Saccharomyces cerevisiae S288C: one gene and its partner. Changing the gene in region 1 together with any one later gene gives a genetic interaction. Each region holds a gene or a part of one and is shown on either strand. Other genes may lie near its edges. The genes, in order: OCA1 and PRS5.

Region 1 (12,172 bases):
CCCACCAAGGCAATAACGATATCATGTCCTACCTTCTCGTGTAGTTCTTCGACCCAGTTTTGAGCCTTATAAAAAGACCCTTCATTAGTAACATCAAAAACTACCAAAGCAGCTTGAGCATTTCTGTAGTACATAGGCGCTAAAGGAGCAAATCTCTCCTGGCCTGCCGTATCCCATATTTCAAATTTAATGACCTTGCCATCCCTTGTAATTCTCTTTGTTAAAAATGCGGCACCAATAGTAGGTTCTTTGCTCTCTTTAAAATCGTCAGATACAAACCTGAGGACTATTGAGGACTTCCCGACAGCAGATTCTCCGAGTAAGACTACTTTGATAGTTAATGTTGGAATAGCTGCTGTATGTTTATCCATTCTACTTAACTTCGATGCTGAAAAAATGTAATAAATAATTTGAATCTAACTCTATTTGGTCAATATACGTGCATTCAGAAGGCCTTTCCCGACTTATAATATGACAATATTTAATAAATTCTACGGATTTATTTTATTTACATGGGAAGAGGCTTTGCAGTTTAAGGACCCCTTCCGCCCCGGAAATTGACATTTTAGGGTATGGTTGGTCACCAAGGCGTACGCGATAATCAGTTGGAATGGAAAGATAAACTGAGTTTAGGGTATTTTGTAAGAGTGTATTTGATCGGCAACCGAAGATTTTCTTTACTCTTGACTTCATAAAATTTACATATTTACATTTAGCCCTTCTATAACCGTTTTTTTAATTTCCCGATCTGATGAAAAGGATGCAACATCACTCTAAAACGTTGAAAATGGCTCCAATTCATAAGGTCACTTTAGTGTATACAATTTTTAAACTCCCTCCCGATGTATATAAATAACAGTGTATTTAGTTTGAATACTTCTCCCTAATTCTGCGAATACTGTCTTCCAAACTTAATGCCGGATCCGAAAAGAACATCAATGTGGTGTCTTGATTGCTCAATTTTTGAATTGAGTCCATTACTCTTCTCTTCCATTCATCTGCTTTTTTATCCATGAAAGCACCATACATGCCATAGTCATTTTGTGAGGATGGTACATAGTAAGTATTAGCGTCTAAGTTAGGTAACTGTCTGTTCGGCAACGGTGGTGGGGCAACTCTTTTAGCATTGTTCTCATCTTTATTACGGCGTGACATTCTTATACTTTCGGTTTGCTCTTCTGTCAACGATGGCTTTTGAGTGGAAGGAATGGGAGGTGGTGGTGGTCTTCTCCTGGTACGTACGGTAGACTTGGTCATTTGCATGGGCCGTTGTTGTAATTCGATGATATTGTTCACTTCATTCATAACTTCTTCATCATGCGATGGGACATCACTCATGGAATTAGAGCAACATCTTATATAAATAGCCAGAATCTGGTTCGGAAATTGTAAAGCCGTAGTGGTATACGCTTCTAAGTCATGTTCACCAGAATCACCGACCAAAATAAATTTTTTTTTGGGAAAATCCTTTAAGATATTTGCAATCGGCTGAATTTTTCTATTCGCACTTGAAGTCATGATAGTGGAAAAGAAATTACCAGAGTATTGTTTCAAAAAAATTGGACCCGGAGGAAAATTGGCGCAAATATATTGTTTCAAAAGAGTAAAAGTTTGGATGGGTGAATTAGAAACATAAAAGAAATCAACGTCTGCGACATCATGTAAAGTTTTGTACCAAAGAGGAACACCATCTATTACCCACGATTGAACATCATGGATGAAAACATTACGAAACATCGATCTCCTGTCACCCGTAACGCCAGTATGCTTGATGGTGTCGTCAATATCACTGATTAAACCAATACCGTAGGGCGAGACATAATTGGCCGGAAATGTTTCAGATATGGGATCTGCATGGCCTTCTATAGGGGTATCTAATGTAATATTAATCTTGGACGGTAAAAAATCTGTTTCTGCCTTGATTAGTAAATTACCATAAGAGTCCGTGGTACCAAAAAAGGAAGCCGTATCCCCTCTGAGCTTATCTTTGGGCAATAGGTCAACCACCACTGGAGTATTAGGAACTTTTTTGGACAGGAATCCTTGAATTCTCTCATTCAGAACATCTTCCTCTTGGATGCCCATATGTGAATACCTATTTTCGCTCTTTGAAGACAAAGAACTTTCTATACTTGATTGGGAGTCGTTTAAATCTCCAGAATCCTCTTCGAGATGAGGGGGAACAACAGGTGCAACATCGGCCTCCGCCGTTCCAGTTCTAAGATATTGTTTACAAAGAGAAAGCAACCACCTATTTCTCCTGCTTGTAGGATTTCCTGGATAAGAAACAGCACATCTGACAGTAGTTTCAAAATCTTTCCGAGGCGCACTCAAACCGTCAGGGTCAACCAAATTAGTTGTGGTATACGTTGGAAAATATGTTATCGTGGTATTATGTGGCAATTCCATAGGCAAGTCATTATAACCTTCGAAGGAATTCGTAGTGCTCCTGATGCCATCCATTGTCTTTTGAGAAATGGATGACGTCAGGTTAGGAATATAAACATCCTTTGTGGTTCTTATGAGATTCATAAACCGTTGTTTCTTACCCATTCGTGGGTCTCCAGAAGTAGGACCGCTAGTAGCAGCAGTAGAGGAAGAGCTTTCATCGTAACCTTGACTATTCATCTTTTTATTCCTTCTCCAAAGCAATTTTTTCCCCCTTTGACGGAACTTATAGCCAAGTTTCAATGTCCTTGTCTGTGTTAATGGTCCCAAGAAAAGACGGCGATTACTAGACAAACTCTTTATAGCCAACAAACCGACAGAGCTAGAGAAACATATGACACTGTTTATTGAAAGCCTTGTGCAACCCACTATTTGCGATATATATGCCTTAATGATGCTAAATTTTTGCCCTGGATCACGAATAGTATAACAGCTTCGTATACTTTATGTCTCGTGGGCATAAAAAGCCAAGAAAAGATACACAAACCAATCACAATGAACAAGCTAACCGTAAAGGCGTTGCCACCCTATTCTAATGCTTTATCTGTCCGAGAATTGTTGGTAACCTCGTTTGGAAAGTTAGACCGCGCCCTCATCATCATTTGCGCGACCACGTGACCCGCTGCGGCTGCGGTTTGCGCGAAGGTTACAATATCTTCCTACTCGATGACTTTTAACCTTTGGATCAAGAGCACAACGTTCTGCCTGAACTCTTATGCTCATTTTGTGCATACAAGTTGCCTTTTTGTGCCATATTAGGATATATTGCCTTCTGAATAAAACTATTCAATTCTCATCACTTCCGCAGTTAGAGAACGCTTTTATGGCATATTGTTACAAATCATCGCTAAAAAAGATATAAACAGTGACTAATTAGCGTCAGCGCAATTTTTTTGGAGAAGTTATAGAATCAAACAGAGAAAGGGATTGAAACCTCAAATTTTCATCAGATGGTGCACATTACTCTGGGTCAAGCGATATGGGTGTCAGTTAAGCCGATAATCAAGATTTATTTGATTATAGGAGTCGGCTTTCTGATGGCTAAAATGGGAATTCTTACGGTTGAAGCAACAAGAATTATTTCTGATATCGTGCTAACAGTTTTACTACCCTCTCTGTCATTCAACAAGATTGTCGCTAATATTGAAGATAAAGACATCAAATCTGTGGGAATTATCTGTCTGTCTGCCCTCCTAATATTTGGTTCTGGGTTCTTTTTTGCATACGTTGTTAGGCTATTCCTGCCTGTTCCTAAACAATGGTACGGTGGTATTCTTGCCGGTGGTATGTTTCCAAATATAAGTGATTTACCAATTGCATATTTACAATCTATGGACCAAGGGCTTGTATTTTCGGAAGAAGAAGGTAACAAAGGTGTGGCTAACGTCATTATATTTCTGACAATGTTTCTAATTTGCATTTTCAATTTGGGGGGGTTTCGACTGATTGAAAGCGATTTCGAGTACAACGACGATGAAAGCGCCGTTAGGGTTTCAGAAACGACAAAGACACAGCCCGCAGTAAGTGCAAACACAACTAATACAGATACTAGCGAGCGTTTCTTCTCAAACGAACAACAGCTTTTCAACAATAAGTACACCGCTCGCGATAGTCTCACTGAAGCTATAGGTACAAAGGGTGAAAACGCAGACGTACCACCAATTTCAAGGAGATCAACAAATAGTATAGCTCCCCTGTCACTACCAGACACTTCTTCGAATTCAAAGATTACAAAACCAGTTCAGGTGAAGGCAAGAAATACTATTGCGTGCACTCAAAGCGAAGAGTCACAGGCAACTCGTGGTTCAAATCCATTAGATAGCCAATCATCTGCTTCAACAATACATTCTTATAATACGTCAGAGAGTTATGAGAGTAGCATAGATACTATGAGAGCACGTAGAACCGCGAGCCAGCCGAGAGCTTACAATACTACCACACTCCTAGAAGAGAACTGTTTAGATGAAAAATGCCCAAAAAATATGTCTATGGCGGCATTGGAACCTATCCGCTCCATTGATATGCGTGCATTACCTTCTCAAAATATACACCATCTTATCAGAGAGTACTCCAACGTTGACCAGTATGGTCATCAAAGGAGGAATTCCAGTTTACGCGGCGCTGATATGAATGATGTGCATTCAATTAGCTCAAATTCCACTTTACAGACTATAAAAACTGCTAACCTAACCAGGATCTTAACATCAGATGCCACTGTAAGTAAAAAGGATATTGAAACATCCGGCGAATCATTACCACAGTGGATGAGAAAATTTTCATTAACTCCATTACTTGTGTTTTTCCTAAAGAATTGTTTGAGACCGTGCTCTATGGCCGTGATCATCGCCCTAACTGTTGCATTTATCCCATGGGTCAAGGCTTTGTTCGTGACTACCGCTAATACTCCTCACATAAGCCAAGCTCCTGACAATGCACCACCATTAAGCTTTTTCATGGATTTTACAGGTTATGTCGGTGCCGCATGTGTTCCATTTGGGTTGATATTATTAGGAGCAACTTTAGGAAGATTAAAGATTGGCAACCTTTATCCTGGATTTTGGAAAGCCGCTGTGACACTCGTCATTTTGAGACAATGTGTCATGCCAATTTTTGGTGTCCTATGGTGTGATCGGTTAGTGAAAGCTGGATGGGTTAATTGGCAAGATGATAGAATGCTACTATTTGTTATAGCAATCAGCTGGAACTTGCCAACGATGACTACCCTTATATATTTCACCGCCAGTTTTACGCCGCCAGAAACAACTGCGCCAATCCAAATGGAGTGTGTTTCATTTTTCTTAATGCTGCAATACCCGCTAATGGTTGTTAGCTTGCCATTTTTAGTGTCTTACTTTCTGAAAGTACAGATGAACCTTTAGTTTTAATCCATTAAACAAAAAATTATTACCACTCCTAATCACTGTTTTAGGGTGGGTTAAAATTAACATTCTCCATTTTTATATAGAACTAATAAAAAACACCTACTTATAGACACGACCAAACTTTCCACAACCTTTCATCAGAGAGAAATGTTGATCAAGTTGAATGCGTGAAAGTAGCAATTCGAAACAACAACTACCTGTCATTCTGCATAGTAGTAGTTACGAAAGGCACAGAAAATAACAAAAAAAAAAAAAAAGTCAATTTTCTACGGTCTCCATCCGTACCTCTTTAAATCCGTACATTATTGTTTTGCTTAATTTCAATATTTCGGAAAAAGCGAGCGCCCTGGTAAAATGTGGTTCAAGCCTGCGAGCCTTTGCTTGGTAACTCACCAAATGCAATTCAGTCACGTTCCACACAGTTTGGGTTTCCAGCCTGGCTTTAGGGAAGAATGGGCTCACTAGGCGTTCATAATACGCGGAGGGGGAAATACCAAATGCTATTGATTATGGTTAAAATATGTGTTATTTGACTTTGTATATACAAACAGAAGAGAAACCAACACACTAAAGACTAGACACATAACTGACCAATGTCCTCTGTCCAATCCAAGATCTTATCCCAAGCTCCAAGTGAGTTGGAATTACAAGTCGCCAAGACCTTCATCGATCTAGAAAGCTCCTCTCCAGAACTAAAGGCTGACTTGAGACCATTGCAAATCAAATCTATCAGAGAAGTATGTTAAAAGTTATATAATTTGGAAGCAGCAACATTGTGATTTCTTCTAAAGGGGTTCTTTGCAGTAATTTTTTCAAAAAAGAGTGATTTTGAGCAGTATCTGTATGAAATTTTCATGTGTTCGAGAAAAATAGTAATTCCGAGAGCTGTCAATACCATGAACGTTGCGATGAGCCTTTGAACTATAAAGGCCTCCTTGGTCAGTACCAATATCGATGAATAAAATAGAAGCACGCGAAAAAGACCTTACCCCAAGGAGAAGAATCACAAACCCTTTTTTGTTATGAATGAACCAATTCAGTTACTAACTTTATTTCAACGCTGCTTGATTCTTATTGTTTAGATTGATGTCACCGGTGGTAAGAAAGCACTAGTCCTTTTTGTCCCAGTTCCAGCTTTGTCTGCATACCATAAGGTCCAAACCAAATTGACCCGTGAATTGGAAAAGAAATTCCCTGACCGTCATGTTATTTTCTTGGCTGAAAGAAGAATCTTGCCAAAACCATCTAGAACATCTAGACAAGTCCAAAAGAGACCAAGATCCAGAACTTTGACTGCTGTTCACGACAAGGTTTTGGAAGACATGGTTTTCCCAACTGAAATTGTCGGTAAAAGAGTTAGATATTTGGTTGGTGGTAACAAGATCCAAAAGGTTTTGTTAGACTCCAAGGATGTTCAACAAATCGACTACAAGTTGGAATCTTTCCAAGCTGTCTACAACAAGTTGACTGGCAAACAAATTGTTTTTGAAATTCCAAGCCAGACCAACTAAATAGTGAGATAACTATCATTCTCATCATTTGTCATACTTAAAGAAAATAATATTAAGAAAAAATAATAAAAAAAGAAACATAGTTATGAGAATACAAAAGGAGGTTTCCAAAAAGTGGGCTTTTTTAATTCGAGTAAAATAATTATGAATGTATACTTAAATATATTTTGTATCTGTCAATATAGAGATGCTTTAATTGGTGTTTTGACATTTTGGAATACATATTGGGTTGATTTCCCAAGTTCTCGCTGCAATCAGATAAAAAGGAAAAAAAATAATGGTTGCTAAGAGATTCGAACTCTTGCATCTTACGATACCTGAGTATTCCCACAGTTAACTGCGGTCAAGATATTTCTTGAATCAGGCGCCTTAGACCGCTCGGCCAAACAACCACTTATTTGTTGAAGAAAAAGCATTATTTATCGCTAGACAACGATACGTCCATCAACAACCGTTAGTTCTTTCACATTGATATGCGGATTACTTATCTGAAGGAAAGGAAAAAGGCGTGGAACAAGTGAGCATTAACATAACCATCTGAAATCTTAGATGATCCCAAGTATGTGTAATTAGATCCGCCTCTTCGCCCAGCACATTGTCCATGCATTATCTGCTTACCTCTACGCGTACCTTGACATGGCGTGTTACGTGTTTCAACTTTGTATAATCAGAATTTCATTTGAGTATATTTTACAAGTCAAAAGCCCAAATGACGTATACTTGAAATAATTGAGGCACGTCCAATTGTGAGTGGCAAACCTTTTTTTCGGTATTCTAGATAGAGCTAATCGCGTATTTGCAATTATAGTTTACAATTCTTAGACGATTTCCGAAGAAAGTTAAAAATGCCCTTGAAAAAAAAATATGTAGGAAAGAGTGCATGCACATGAAGAAGAAAGAAAGAGCTAGGGAAAAAACGAAAAAGGAGCCTAAGGAAAAGAGTTAGGCGTTTACAACAGGACGAACCCGGAAGGAGAAAAGTTTGTAGTCTTGCAGTATCACAAACAGCAACCACGTTCATAGTCTGAAATACGTACAAATGAGTTCACCAGCGAACCTATTCCCTGGATTAAACGACATAACTGACGTGCTGGAGGAATTCCCACTGGCCACCTCCAGATATTTAACATTACTACACGAAATAGATGCAAAATGTGTGCATTCTATGCCGAATTTGAACGAGAGGATAGATAAGTTCTTGAAGAAAGACTTCAATAAAGATCACCAAACACAAGTAAGACTGCTCAATAATATCAACAAGATTTATGAAGAACTGATGCCATCGCTGGAGGAGAAAATGCATGTCTCATCCATTATGCTGGATAATCTAGACAGATTGACGTCCCGGTTAGAATTGGCGTATGAAGTCGCAATCAAGAACACAGAAATTCCTAGAGGTTTAAGACTGGGTGTGGACAACCATCCAGCAATGCACCTCCATCATGAACTAATGGAAAAAATAGAGAGCAAATCAAACAGCAAATCGTCGCAGGCACTGAAGAGCGAATCAAGAAGAGAAGCCATGGCTGCCAACAGGAGGCAGGGCGAACATTACTCCGCCAGCACACACCAACAAGACGACTCAAAGAACGACGCAAACTACGGAGGCAGCAGGCACGAGAGCCAAGACCACACTGGTAACAACACAAACTCAAGAAAAAGAGCCAACGCTGCCAATACCAACAACGCCGATCCAGAGACCAAAAAACGCAAGAGGAGAGTTGCCACCACAGCCGTTTCACCAAGCACTATCAGCACGGCAACTGCCGTCAATAATGGCAGGATAGGTACATCTACAGCGTCCAGGGGAGTTAGCAGCGTCGGAAACAGCAACAACAGCAGGATATCAAGACCAAAAACCAACGACTACGGCGAACCGCTCTACTGCTACTGTAACCAAGTGGCATACGGGGAAATGGTGGGGTGTGATGGCGCAGACTGTGAGCTAGAATGGTTCCATTTGCCATGTATTGGACTCGAAACTCTACCTAAGGGCAAGTGGTATTGCGACGACTGCAAAAAAAAACTGTGAAATAGCTCTCGGGCGAATATCGCCTTAAGGAAATATCTACTAAATACCGAATATATACATATATATATATCTTAGCTACATATATATATATCTTAGCGTTTTAACGGGCGTGGCCGTATCAATGGATCTGCAAGATACTTGGGCCCTACCGGTCTAGATAAAATATTCAAATCGATGGTGATGACGGCACGATAAAACGTAATAAATGATGAAATGACTTGTCACGGCGTAGCAGCGCCAGCAGCTCAGTCTAATCGCCGTACAGTGGGTGGTGTGGCTAATCGCTTAGGCTTTTTATTCAGAAGGACCTTTTCATTCACCTCGCCCCCCTTGGAGGTTCCTGCCTGACCCCTTTGCCCCTGGCCTCGCCCCTGCGCCATGTCTCTGCCTGGAGCGTGACATTTAGGACGGTGAAGCTAGGCAGGCCTTCAGAAATTAAACGGAACATGACAGCAAAGACGAAACAAAGCTGGAATAAGGGGATCTGGGAAAACGGGAAACAAGGTTCACATCAGCAAACATTTCTACCGAAAATCTGGGTAAACATTTATAGTACCCCAACATCTTAAGTTTTAGCCGTTGTCTTCTCTTATCGCCTAGAATCGCTCATTTCAAGCGTAACGCAATCCGGCTTTTGTTTTTTTTCCATTTTATTCATCCACTCTTTATCTGACTCTTCTGCACTATATTAATCAACTAGGAGAAAATTACTTGAGCAGAAAGATACGAGAGAATTACGGATAAAAAAACCAAGTTAACCGTTTTCGAATTGAAAGGAGATATACAGAAAAAAAAATGCCTTTGAACAAGTCGAACATAAGAGAGTACAAGCTAGTCGTCGTTGGTGGTGGTGGTGTTGGTAAATCTGCTTTGACCATACAATTGACCCAATCGCACTTTGTAGATGAATACGATCCCACAATTGAGGATTCATACAGGAAGCAAGTGGTGATTGATGATGAAGTGTCTATATTGGACATTTTGGATACTGCAGGGCAGGAAGAATACTCTGCTATGAGGGAACAATACATGCGCAACGGCGAAGGATTCCTATTGGTTTACTCTATAACGTCCAAGTCGTCTCTTGATGAGCTTATGACTTACTATCAACAGATATTGAGAGTCAAAGATACCGACTATGTTCCAATTGTGGTTGTTGGTAACAAATCTGATTTAGAAAACGAAAAACAGGTCTCTTACCAGGACGGGTTGAACATGGCAAAGCAAATGAACGCTCCTTTCTTGGAGACATCTGCTAAGCAAGCAATCAACGTGGAAGAGGCGTTTTACACTCTAGCACGTTTAGTTAGAGACGAAGGCGGCAAGTACAACAAGACTTTGACGGAAAATGACAACTCCAAGCAAACTTCTCAAGATACAAAAGGGAGCGGTGCCAACTCTGTGCCTAGAAATAGCGGTGGCCACAGGAAGATGAGCAATGCTGCCAACGGTAAAAATGTGAACAGTAGCACAACTGTCGTGAATGCCAGGAATGCAAGCATAGAGAGTAAGACAGGGTTGGCAGGCAACCAGGCGACAAATGGTAAGACACAAACTGATCGCACCAATATAGACAATTCCACGGGCCAAGCTGGTCAGGCCAACGCTCAAAGCGCTAATACGGTTAATAATCGTGTAAATAATAATAGTAAGGCCGGTCAAGTTTCAAATGCTAAACAGGCTAGGAAGCAGCAAGCTGCACCCGGCGGTAACACCAGTGAAGCCTCCAAGAGCGGATCGGGTGGCTGTTGTATTATAAGTTAATAAAAAGGAAATAGTTGTAGAAACGCTAAGACGAAAAGAACTCTATAAAGTTGAAACGAGTACACACATTTATAAATATATACAAAAGTAAATAAAAAAGTGACTGTTTTTATATTGCTTATTGCCATTTGCTATTTCCGTTTCATTCTTGTTAACATTGGAAACTTTGGGCAATATCATATGGTTGCCGGGTAAAGGAAAAAACAAACAACATCGCTATAACATAAAATTGGACATTGCAGAGAGTCATCAATCACATCCATTTTCACAAGAAAGAGGTGTTCCACCTGGAATAACAAGCTTCTCTTTCCCCTTAGAATGACATCTAAAGTTGGTGAATATGAGGACGTTCCAGAGGATGAGTCCCGCCTCACAGAAGAGAACGTATCCGTACCTGAAGAAGAAGTAGAAGACGAAGACGAGGAAGAAGACGACGATGATGATCATATATATATCAATGAAGAAACAGAATCTGGTCGCGAAAAGGTCTTGGTATCACATGCCCCACAAGAACGTATCGTTCCACCTTTGAATTTCTGTCCCGTTGAAAGATACCTCTATAGATCTGGTCAGCCTTCACCTGTGAATTTCCCCTTTTTACTAAACCTAAAACTGAAAACAATTATATGGCTGTCTAACGAAGAACCTCAAGATACCCTCCTAGAGTTTTGTGATACTCATAGAATAAACTTACAATTCGCAGCCATCAACCCGGATGCCGGTGAGGACGATAATCCATGGGACGGTCTCACTGAACATTCTATAATTAATGTACTACAAACGATCGTCACTCAAGAGAATTATCCCTTGCTAGTGTGCTGTGGTATGGGAAGACATAGGACTGGGACAGTCATTGGATGTCTCAGAAGAATAATGGGTTGGAACTTAGCCAGTGTATCCGAAGAATATAGACGCTTTACTGGTAGCAGAGGTGGTAGAATTCTTGTAGAGTTGCTTATAGAAGCTTTCGACACTAATTTAGTAAAAATAGACAAAAATAAAGCACCAAGTTGGTTACTGACAGCTTTGGAGTAGAGGCAAGAAAAAAAAAATGCAAAAGATAAAGAAAAAGCACTGAGCTTTATGACCATTTACCTAAAGTTTGAAATGTTTCAGGATGCACGGCCCATTCGCGAACCAACTTCTAAAGATCACACGAAATGAAATTCAAAATAAATGAAATTTATTTAATGGGTAATTTTATAGAATATTAATTATCCGATTTATATATGGACATACTTACTATGGACATGATAATGAACAAAAAAAGATATCCGCTTGATATCATGCTTGCTCCAACTTTTCATAAAGCTGTTCCCTTGCATACCTTATATTTTTTTGTAATGTCTGATCGATTTGACGTTTTAAATCACATTTCTTGGCAACATATCCTTCCTCATAAATTCGTTTCCAAGTATTGTGATATGACTTGACGAAATCAGCTGGCAGTAAATCATTTTCAGTGGCATTGACCAAATTCTGTGATGTCTGTGGAGCCCAATACTTGAATGTAGCTGCTGCCAATACCCATGGTA
Region 2 (10,039 bases), on another chromosome or scaffold:
ATGACTCCGATTGAAAACGTGTTCACAATGAGTGCCGATACCATCCTAGACGATAAAACTGTCGAAAAAATCTTCAACTCAGGGTTTTCTAGAATCCCGATTTTTTTGCCCAATGAACCAAACAACTTCATCGGCATGTTACTTGTCAGGGTGCTTATCTCCTACGATCCTGATGACTGCCTCCCAATCTCCCACTTCCCCCTAGCCACGTTGCCAGAAACTTCCCCGAACACATCTTGTTTGAATATTCTGAATTACTTCCAGGAGGGGAAAGCTCACATGTGCGTCGTTAGTAAAGAGCCGGGCTCCTCGCATGGCGCTATTGGTGTTTTAACTTTGGAGGATGTCATTGAAGAATTGATCGGTGAAGAAATCGTGGACGAGTCTGATGTCTTTGTGGACATGCATCAGCATATTATGAGACAACAACCGGGGCCCTTGAGCAAAAGGCACATTACTTCCTATTTGCATCATTTGTACACTAGCTCTCACAAGGAGCACAAAGCTGCTGACCAAGCTGATGAATCGTCTCCACTCTTGTCTCCATCCAATTCTAATCACCCATCCGAGCACCCACAGCAAGATTTGAATAATAAGTCTTGGAAGCAGAAGTCAAATGATGGTTACGACAGGTCCAACGCTGTATTGTCTCCAACTCCACAAGTGACGGAACATGGCACCATCATACCTTCAAATCTAGCGTCCAACCCGTTGAACGTAAATAAATCTTTTGTTACCATTAAAAAGCCTGCCAATGTTCCGAAAATCATTACTACACACACTCCTCATTCTAGCAAAGAGCCTTCTCCAGCACCACACTCAAATGATAAATCACTCTCCGCCGAAGAACAACAACTATTAAGTGATCATGCAGAGCTATCTCGCCAAGCTGTTCTCCATACTCAACGGTCGGGTCAACCAACTCAAGTTACTACCTCGACTAAAACCACGAGAAATAGCCCTGATAGTATATCAATTCCAAATTCTGGCGCGAATCACGGCAACGAAAATCAAAACGTTACAATCTCAACCTCTTACCAAAATACGAAGAATGGTATTGTGGAATCTGTCATCACAGTCAAAGGTGTTCCAAAAACCATCATTGGCCCCGCAAAAGATTGGGACGAATCCAAAAGTGAATATGGAAACGAGAATATCAATCAAGAGAATTCTAATCGAAGTGACGATAGAGAAAGTTCAAGTTCAAATGCAAGTTTATTTTCCAGTATTAAGAATAAATTTAAGAACGAAAACGCTAACAACAATGATCGTTCTAATTTCACCGACTCTTTGTCAAGAACTTCCAATTATGATGCCAACGGCTCCTCGTCGACCATAAAAAGATGAAGAGATTATGCCAAAAGAATTGCCCATGCATCATAATAACCATCATCACCGTTCTTATTAGTCCCAGACGCATGAAATCACAGGGGAGAGCAGCTTAAAATTTTTTCTACAGACATACAAGAAGAAATTGCAGTTTTTTTTTTTTTGTTTCTCTAACCTATAAATAAAATGTTTCAATACACATACTAAACAAAGAAAAAAAAATGTAGAGAATTTTATACGCAAAATATATAGACACTTTCCCCTATTTTTATCAATAAAAAAATGAACACATCAATGCCACTACCATCCATGCTCGAACAACATAGAAATGGATTCACCGTTATGGATTCTTCTAATTGCTTCACCGATTATGCAGGAGACATCAATAACATCCACTCTGTCCTTACCTAGGTACTGTAGTGTTCTATCTTGAGGAACCGTGTTAGAAATGATCAACTTATCTATACTACTTTGGCCGATTCTTTCTAGCGCATCACCGGAAAAAACACCGTGCGTTATTAAGGCATAAACTTTGGTAGATCCTTGATCCTTCAACAATTTCGCAGCTCTTGTAATAGTGTATGAAGTATCCACCAAGTCGTCGACTATAATACACACCTTGTTTCTAACATCGCCAACAAGCATGGTAGTTTGAACGAACTTGGACGAATTAGAAGATTGCGACGAGGTGGAAGATGTTGAAGTTGTTTTCTTCATTTCAAGGGCCGCAACCCCAGTGGCACCTGAAGAAGTAGTATTTTGGGAGGAAACCAAAGTAGTAACTAATGGCCTTGGAGATACTGGTAACGAACCACCAGAGGTTAACGTCGCATCTGGAGGGCCCTTCAATAACTGAGATCTTCTTTCTTTATGAATTAGGGCGAAGGACAATTCCAAGGCGTCTGCAATAGCCGTAGCTCTCTTTGCACCACCAGCATCTGGAGAAACGATCACAGCATCCTGATAATCTGGAATGCGATGCTGGATGTAGTTTTGTGCAATGGGTTTACAGTAGAGATTATCCACTGGAATGTCAAAAAACCCAGGGAACTGTGGATCGTGCAAATCCATTGTGATCACATGGTCAGCACCTGCAGCACTCAACAAATGAGCAATCAAAGTACCGGCTTGTACTACCCATAGCTTATAGCCTGCATTTTGAGCGTTGAACAATTCACCAGCGTCCGTGCTATTGCTTGTATTTTGTAACTTACCACCGGGAATCATAGGAATTCTTGAAAAAGAAAGCGTCTTCTTGATGTCGAAATTGTTATTCGCCGTAGCACTGCTGTTTGGTGTTCTGATAGGTTGAGGATTTTCTAAGTTGATAGTTGATCGTATTGCACTATCCAAACTCTTCAACGAGCTCTCAGCACCTGGTCTTTGCGTCATTAAAGAAGATGACACGGGTGTGCCTGGATGCGATTCAAAAGTATAGTTTTCTTTAGGCTTGGAAATTATGGGAGCACCCTTGGCAGTATATGGAATATCTGGCTGTCTCGAGTAGCAGAGATATGGCATTACGGCTGTAACCCTCGAGGCAGAAGCGGACTTGCAGGCACTGATTAAAATCAGCAACTGCATGAACGTGTCGTTCACCTGGCCACAACCACTCTGGATGATATATACATCCTTTTCACGAACAGATTCGCGAAGAGCAATGTTCGTTTCCCCATTAGAAAACTTCCCTAATTCTACTTTCGATGGGTGAATGTCCAAATTTTCACAGATCTTAGTAACTAACTCGGGGTGCGAGTCCCCTCCAAAAACAACAATATTACTCATTGACATCCAGACTGCGTTCCTAGCCTCGTAGCAACCTCCAACAAAGTCACTTTCGACCAACTTACTCTCATCTCATCCAGCCCTTCTCGCTAATCGTAGCCATTTATTATTTGATAGAAAATTTTTTTCAACTGCGGTCGAAGGGTAACAGCCATATTTTCCTTAATTGATTAGTATAGGAGAACTTGATGATAAAGTGTGGAAACCTTTCATAAACGGTTGGAGAAAAGAATCACATAGAGTTATGGTGAGCAATGATTAGTGGTGTGCTGGTATACTCATCGAGAGGTGAACTTGTCTTGAACAAGTTCTTCAAGAACTCGTTGAAGCGGTCCATATCCGATATCTTCCGAGTACAAGTGATCAATAATCTAGATGTTAGATCGCCTGTTTTGACACTGGGCTCAACTACTTTCCATCACATCAGGTCGAGGCATGGTGACAATTTGTGGTTGGTAACCATTACGAGAAGCAACGCTAATAGTGCGGCGATCTGGGAGTTCTTATATAAGCTTGATGCAGTGATGAATGCTTATCGATTGGATAGAGAGGAGGCCTTGAAAGAGGAATTCATGATTGTGCATGAGATGCTGGATATAATGTTGGGTGGAAATGGGATACCAATTGACACTGAATTGAACTCTGTTATAGCGCAGATGTCTGTGAAACCCGTTAGAAATATGGGCGGATTGTTAGATAGTCCCGATGGAAATGATGTATTATCTTCCTCTTCATCTCCTACTTCTTCAGCAGGAGAACTACATTTTCCCAAATTTTTGACAAAAAGAAGCAGTAGTTTCCTGGGTCAAGGAGACTCCACTTCTGATTTCTATGATAACAATAAGATCACTTGGAGGCCCAAGGGGATAATACACAAGAAGGATGAAGTTTTCTTGTATGTCAATGAGAGGATAAACATTCTGGTATCTAGGGATGGTTCTATCTTGAAATCATACGTTGATGGCACCATAGATATCACCACACACTTGAGTGGGACCCCTATTTGTAGATTTGGATTGAATGATTCTTTGGGAATGCAGTCCGAAGACGAGAAGAAATGGTTAGCACAGCAGCAGCGTCACTCTGGCAGCGATTTTGGAAACAAGAACTTCATTCCCAAAGCTGCTGCCGGTAGTGTTTTGTTGGAAGATTGCAAGTTTCACGAATGTGTCTCACTTGACAAATTTAACAGAAATCATATCATTGAATTCGTCCCACCAGACGGTTCGATGGAGTTGATGAAATATCATGTACGAGATAACATAAACCTGCCGTTCAAGGTTACACCTATTGTTACACATTCTACAAGAGATAACGAGATTGATTACAGGATAACATTGAAGTCTTTATTTCCTGGAAAACTTTCCGCCAAAGATGTGGTACTACATATACCCGTTCCACCAAGCACTGTGGATTGTAAGATAAGTGTCTCTAATGGCCACTGTAAGTTTGTGCCAGAAGAAAATGCAATGATTTGGAGGTTCAACAAGTACAATGGGTTGACGGAAAACACTTTAAGTGCAGTTACTGTGTCCACAAGTGATACTACTCAATTGAATCTTCAACAATGGACAAGACCTCCAATATCCCTGGAATTCGAGGTCATGATGTTCAGTAATTCTGGCTTAGTCGTACGATACTTTACCATTTCTGGAAAAGACAGTAAGCATCGTGCTGTAAAATGGATTAAATATATATCGAAAGCCGGTTCTTACGAGGTGAGGTACTAGCCCGTAATTTTTGTGTACATATATTTTTATCATGCCTGTATTTTTTATAGTAATTTCCTTTAGAATGCACATTTTGTTAATATTGAATATTTTCTATTATGAGAGACATGCAATTTAGTTTTTCATTGAAAAGAAAACAGGGAAAAAACATGGAAAAACCATACAAGACACCAAAAACACCATAGTAATGAAGATCAACAGCGCAATCAAGAGGCACTGGTACTTCTAGGCTTGAAAATTTGGTTTTGAATATAATGCCCCCTCAGATTCCCAATGAAAATGATGATCTCTTTACAAGGTGGCTTAAGTCTCGGGCCATCATACAAAGGGCAGTATCGACAAGAGAGTGCTTTGACTCAGAAGTATTTCTGGCGTCTGGTGGCTGGAATATAACGAATGAGATAATAACGTTAAAGAAATATTATCAACTCAAGTGGCCAAACTCCAGTTGCAATTCGTTTCATCCAAAAACCGTGGAGTTTATTAAAGAACGATTACACAACCTAGAAGAACATGACTCTTCATGGAAAATCCCAAATCCTGCTTACTCATTCAAGAAAGCCTTCTTGGAGGATACTAAATCTGCATTTTCCAACTTAGAACCCGTCTGGGGACCATCAAGGCTTTTGAATCCAGCTGAATTACTATTGCCACAGGACGAAAAACTACTTGTTCAAGAGATACCACTAGAGTTCGCACCTTTTCAATACACAAATAGGTTTGCTTATGGTGGTTTGCAGTTCAAGAACAATTTGTTCGTCACTTATGGGAGTTATTCCTTCCTGGCTGCCGGTCAATGCGTCGAAGTTCATAATTTCGATATACTATTGAACGTTTCGTCATTAGAAATATGTCACGCCTTATTGCCCGTGATAATACCAGATGACGGAGATGTAAGAAACTTCCGCAATTCATCATATGTGAAATTTAAGGATACACAGTTCAACAGCATACCTGAACTATGTTCTATCAACTTTATGAAGATTTGTAACTTCATGCATCAAGATTTTCTACTAGCTTGCGGTGACAACGGAATCGTTTATATCTGGGAAATCAACAAAGTTATTAAGATATTTAATAAATTTACTTCGGATATCTTGGGAGGCAAAGATAACAGCCGGGAAAGATACATAAATGTTGATCCATATATGGTGTTAAGAGTAGAGGAATCTTGTTGGAGTGTTGATGTAATAGATATAAATGGCATCATATATATCGCTGTTGGCCATAACAAGCCTGGAGTTACAGTCTTTGCATTCGATAAAGATGTAAAGAAGGAAAGACGGTACATTCGGCCTCTAGATCTTCCCTCATCTCACAATGTTCCTTGTGTTAACTTTGTTCCTAATTCAAAAGATTCTGTTGGATATATTACATTAAGTTATTGTTCTATATTTGGGAATGTTGTTACCGTTAAATTAAAGGAGCATGATTGTACCATTTTAACGAGTTTCCTTGATACTCAATTTTTTGGCGACGACTTATGGACAATAACTCCACTGACTAAGAAGGATTTTGCGAAAGTTGACAATTTCGAATTGTTGAATCTTAACTACCAAGACGGTTTCAAAGAAAGCATGTTATATTCTATTTGCCGAGATGATTTTTTACTTGGGTATTACTGTGATAACGCCTACCTCTCTGGGAATTTCGGTATTGGTACATTACTCAATCAATTTCAGGTTCCTGTCACAGACCTACGACTGACTTCTTCAGCAGGGATCCCCGATGAAGTTATACCATTAAGATTTACCTCATTTGATAGAAATTACACTACAACGGGCTCGATAAAATACGAGTACAGCAGAGAGGATTTTGCACTTATTTTACATGCCGGTGACTTAGACGATATGAATGATGCAGTGACAAAAAACACCTCATGTGAACAGCATTTACACCAATGGACATTTTGGGAGGATTCTGGTTATAAACATTATCGTGCTACTGAGCGTGGATTTTCGAAATACAAGGATATTATTAATACTTTTCCACAGTTGATAACTCCTAGTGGAAGAAATAAAACATCGCAATATCAAAACACTTCTGGGAGAAAGATCTGTGAGCCGTCTACTTATAAACTTACTGATCTCGAAAATGATATTGAAGATATATCTCGCGAATTTAATAGAAGTATTCGTAATTTGAAAATGGATAAACAAAGACAACTACGAACTTCAAAAGAGTTCAAATCGCTAAGTTCAGTAAATCATATACCAAATATTGAATCGGGAAACTTTTTATGGTACAACACCGATGCCGCTGCCGATTGGAGAACACTTTTTGGCAAGGATTTGAACACGGTCTTGAAGGACCCAGAAATTTGTAGCCTTCAACTGAACTCTACAGAAGAGGACGATGTCAATAGCGACCCTGAAAATGAAGAATCTGGTAGCAGCTTAACAAGTTTCCAGCGAAGATATAGGGATACTGAACAGCGTGCTCACTTGAAATCAGAATCGCAGAAATCTTGGGGGTTCCACAACTATGTAAGAAACGTCAAGCGGTTATTAGAGTCAGCAGTACCGGGCTCAGAAGATTCGCCTCTTGGGTATCAACTATCCGAAATGCACGACGAGTTCTTCTTCCTAACCACAGCCCATAGGCTGGTGTTGATGAAAGCAAATCCACTCATAATTATATCAGCAACTCATCATGAGATTTTTCCCTTAGATGGTGTTGTGACGTGTGCTTCCAAGTCGCTGCTCCAAGCACTAAACAGAATAAATTTTGTGTGTCACATCAAAGAACTAAATTGCATAGCCGTGGCTTCACAATTGGGTCTCATTTCATTACTAAGACTAACAGAGTACAGAGGCATCTATTCGTTTAGACAAGAGTATATTCTTGGATGGGAAGTCCAAGACCCTGTTAACCCTAGTCCAGAGTGCAGATGTAACAGGAACTTGTTTGACGCACCAATGTATGGTGCAGATGGAGAGAGCTCGGACACATACTGCGGCGTGTGCGACGTCTATTTCCCCATGGGTGATATTTGCGGACTAGATTACACTTATGCATCTGACAGTGAAGAGTTAAAACGTAAGGGATATGCTACCTTATACGTAGCATCAAGAGGCTCCTTGAGGGCATTCAAGATCACAACTGAGCATGGAACAACTCAACAATAGCATATTTTGACATTTACATAGCCATCTATATAATAATCCTTCCTTCATTGAAATGCGCGAATGACTCAGACGAGCAATATCACGTGTTGCGATTTTACTTTCAGTTTGCAAAGAAGAAACCATGCCACATATAAAGAACGTTTGCACTTCTCTTTAATTTATTAGTTAGTAAGTAAGAAGTTTAAAGACAACTCAGAAGACATCAGCACTTTACTATGGCATTGGAAAGAGAATTATTGGTTGCAACTCAAGCTGTACGAAAGGCGTCTTTATTGACTAAGAGAATTCAATCTGAAGTGATTTCTCACAAGGACTCCACTACTATTACCAAGAATGATAATTCTCCAGTAACCACAGGTGATTATGCTGCACAAACGATCATCATAAATGCTATCAAGAGCAATTTTCCTGATGATAAGGTAGTTGGTGAAGAATCCTCATCAGGATTGAGCGACGCATTCGTCTCAGGAATTTTAAACGAAATAAAAGCCAATGACGAAGTTTATAACAAGAATTATAAAAAGGATGATTTTCTGTTTACAAACGATCAGTTTCCGCTAAAATCTTTGGAGGACGTCAGGCAAATCATCGATTTCGGCAATTACGAAGGTGGTAGAAAAGGAAGATTTTGGTGTTTGGATCCTATTGACGGAACCAAGGGGTTTTTAAGAGGTGAACAGTTTGCAGTATGTCTGGCCTTAATTGTGGACGGTGTTGTTCAGCTTGGTTGTATTGGATGCCCCAACTTAGTTTTAAGTTCTTATGGGGCCCAAGATTTGAAAGGCCATGAGTCATTTGGTTATATCTTTCGTGCTGTTAGAGGTTTAGGTGCCTTCTATTCTCCATCTTCAGATGCAGAGTCATGGACCAAAATCCACGTTAGACACTTAAAAGACACTAAAGACATGATTACTTTAGAGGGAGTTGAAAAGGGACACTCCTCTCATGATGAACAAACTGCTATCAAAAACAAACTAAATATATCCAAATCTTTGCACTTGGATTCTCAAGCCAAGTACTGTTTGTTAGCATTGGGCTTAGCAGACGTATATTTACGTCTGCCTATCAAACTTTCTTACCAAGAAAAGATCTGGGACCATGCTGCAGGCAACGTTATTGTCCATGAAGCTGGAGGTATCCATACAGATGCCATGGAAGATGTTCCTCTAGACTTCGGTAACGGTAGAACGCTAGCTACGAAGGGAGTTATAGCGTCAAGTGGCCCACGCGAGTTACATGACTTGGTGGTGTCTACATCATGCGATGTCATTCAGTCAAGAAACGCCTAAATAACATATATTTTACTTTATTGATAGACATAAATATATGAGTACATATATATATGTGTGTATGTGTATGTACATACCAGTTAAATGATAACCTTTTTTTATTGTTGTTATAGCGTGAAAAAAGGAAAATACAGTGAAAAGAACAAAACTGAAGAGGTAAGAGTAGGCTAACAAAGAAGAAAAGTGAGACAAGAAAATACAGCAGGATTCTGACCGAATGAACAAAACGAATTGGAAGGTATCTGTAACTACATTCAATTGTGGTAAGGAATTTCCCGTTGAAAATTCGAAAGCAATCGTTAAGCAATTGCTTTTCCCCTACGATGACGGCATCTCCCAATTGGAATTGCAAGATCTATATGTGTTGGGGTTCCAAGAAGTAGTCCCCATATGGCAAGGCTCCTTCCCTGCTGTTAATCGTGATTTAATCGATAGAATTACAACTACTGCGGTTAATTGTCTGAATGAAAAAGTGTCAGCTACACAAGGGGATGAGCAGTATTCATGTTTAGGGGTGAATAGTCTTGGGGCGATTACCATAATAGTATTATACAATAATAATGCGCTAAAGGTAAAAGATGATATTTTGAAACGGAATGGGAAATGCGGTTGGTTTGGTACACACTTGAAAGGTGGAACTTTGATAAGTTTTCAGATGACACGCAATGGCGAGGAGAACTGGGAAAGATTTAGCTATATTTGTGCTCATTTAAATGCAAATGAAGGTGTCAACAATAGAAATCAAAGAATAGATGATTACAAACGAATAATGAGTGAA

Evidence for each region.
Region 2: mutations in OCA1 (region 1) and PRS5 together harm fitness more than expected from each alone (negative genetic interaction), as found in Saccharomyces cerevisiae (2 studies listed by BioGRID).

The regions. Positions count from the first base shown.
Region 1 is NC_001146.8:438,067-450,238, reverse strand, and holds OCA1 (putative tyrosine protein phosphatase OCA1), read left to right. Parts: upstream 1-10,955; coding exon 10,956-11,672; downstream 11,673-12,172. Other genes in the region: Rab family GTPase YPT53, read right to left, coding at 1-371; phosphatidate phosphatase APP1, read right to left, coding at 865-2,628; YNL095C (uncharacterized protein), read left to right, coding at 3,399-5,327; 40S ribosomal protein eS7 RPS7B, read left to right, coding at 5,924-6,067, 6,413-6,841; PHO23 (Pho23p), read left to right, coding at 7,881-8,873; PLS1 (Pls1p), read left to right, coding at 9,320-9,442; Ras family GTPase RAS2, read left to right, coding at 9,669-10,637; MIC27 (Mic27p), read right to left, coding at 11,922-12,172.
Region 2 is NC_001147.6:205,325-215,363, reverse strand, and holds PRS5 (ribose phosphate diphosphokinase subunit PRS5), read right to left. Parts: upstream 3,121-10,039; coding exon 1,630-3,120; downstream 1-1,629. Other genes in the region: MAM3 (Mam3p), read left to right, coding at 1-1,347; APM4 (Apm4p), read left to right, coding at 3,369-4,844; CRT10 (Crt10p), read left to right, coding at 5,099-7,972; MET22 (3'(2'),5'-bisphosphate nucleotidase), read left to right, coding at 8,188-9,261; phosphoinositide 5-phosphatase INP54, read left to right, coding at 9,479-10,039.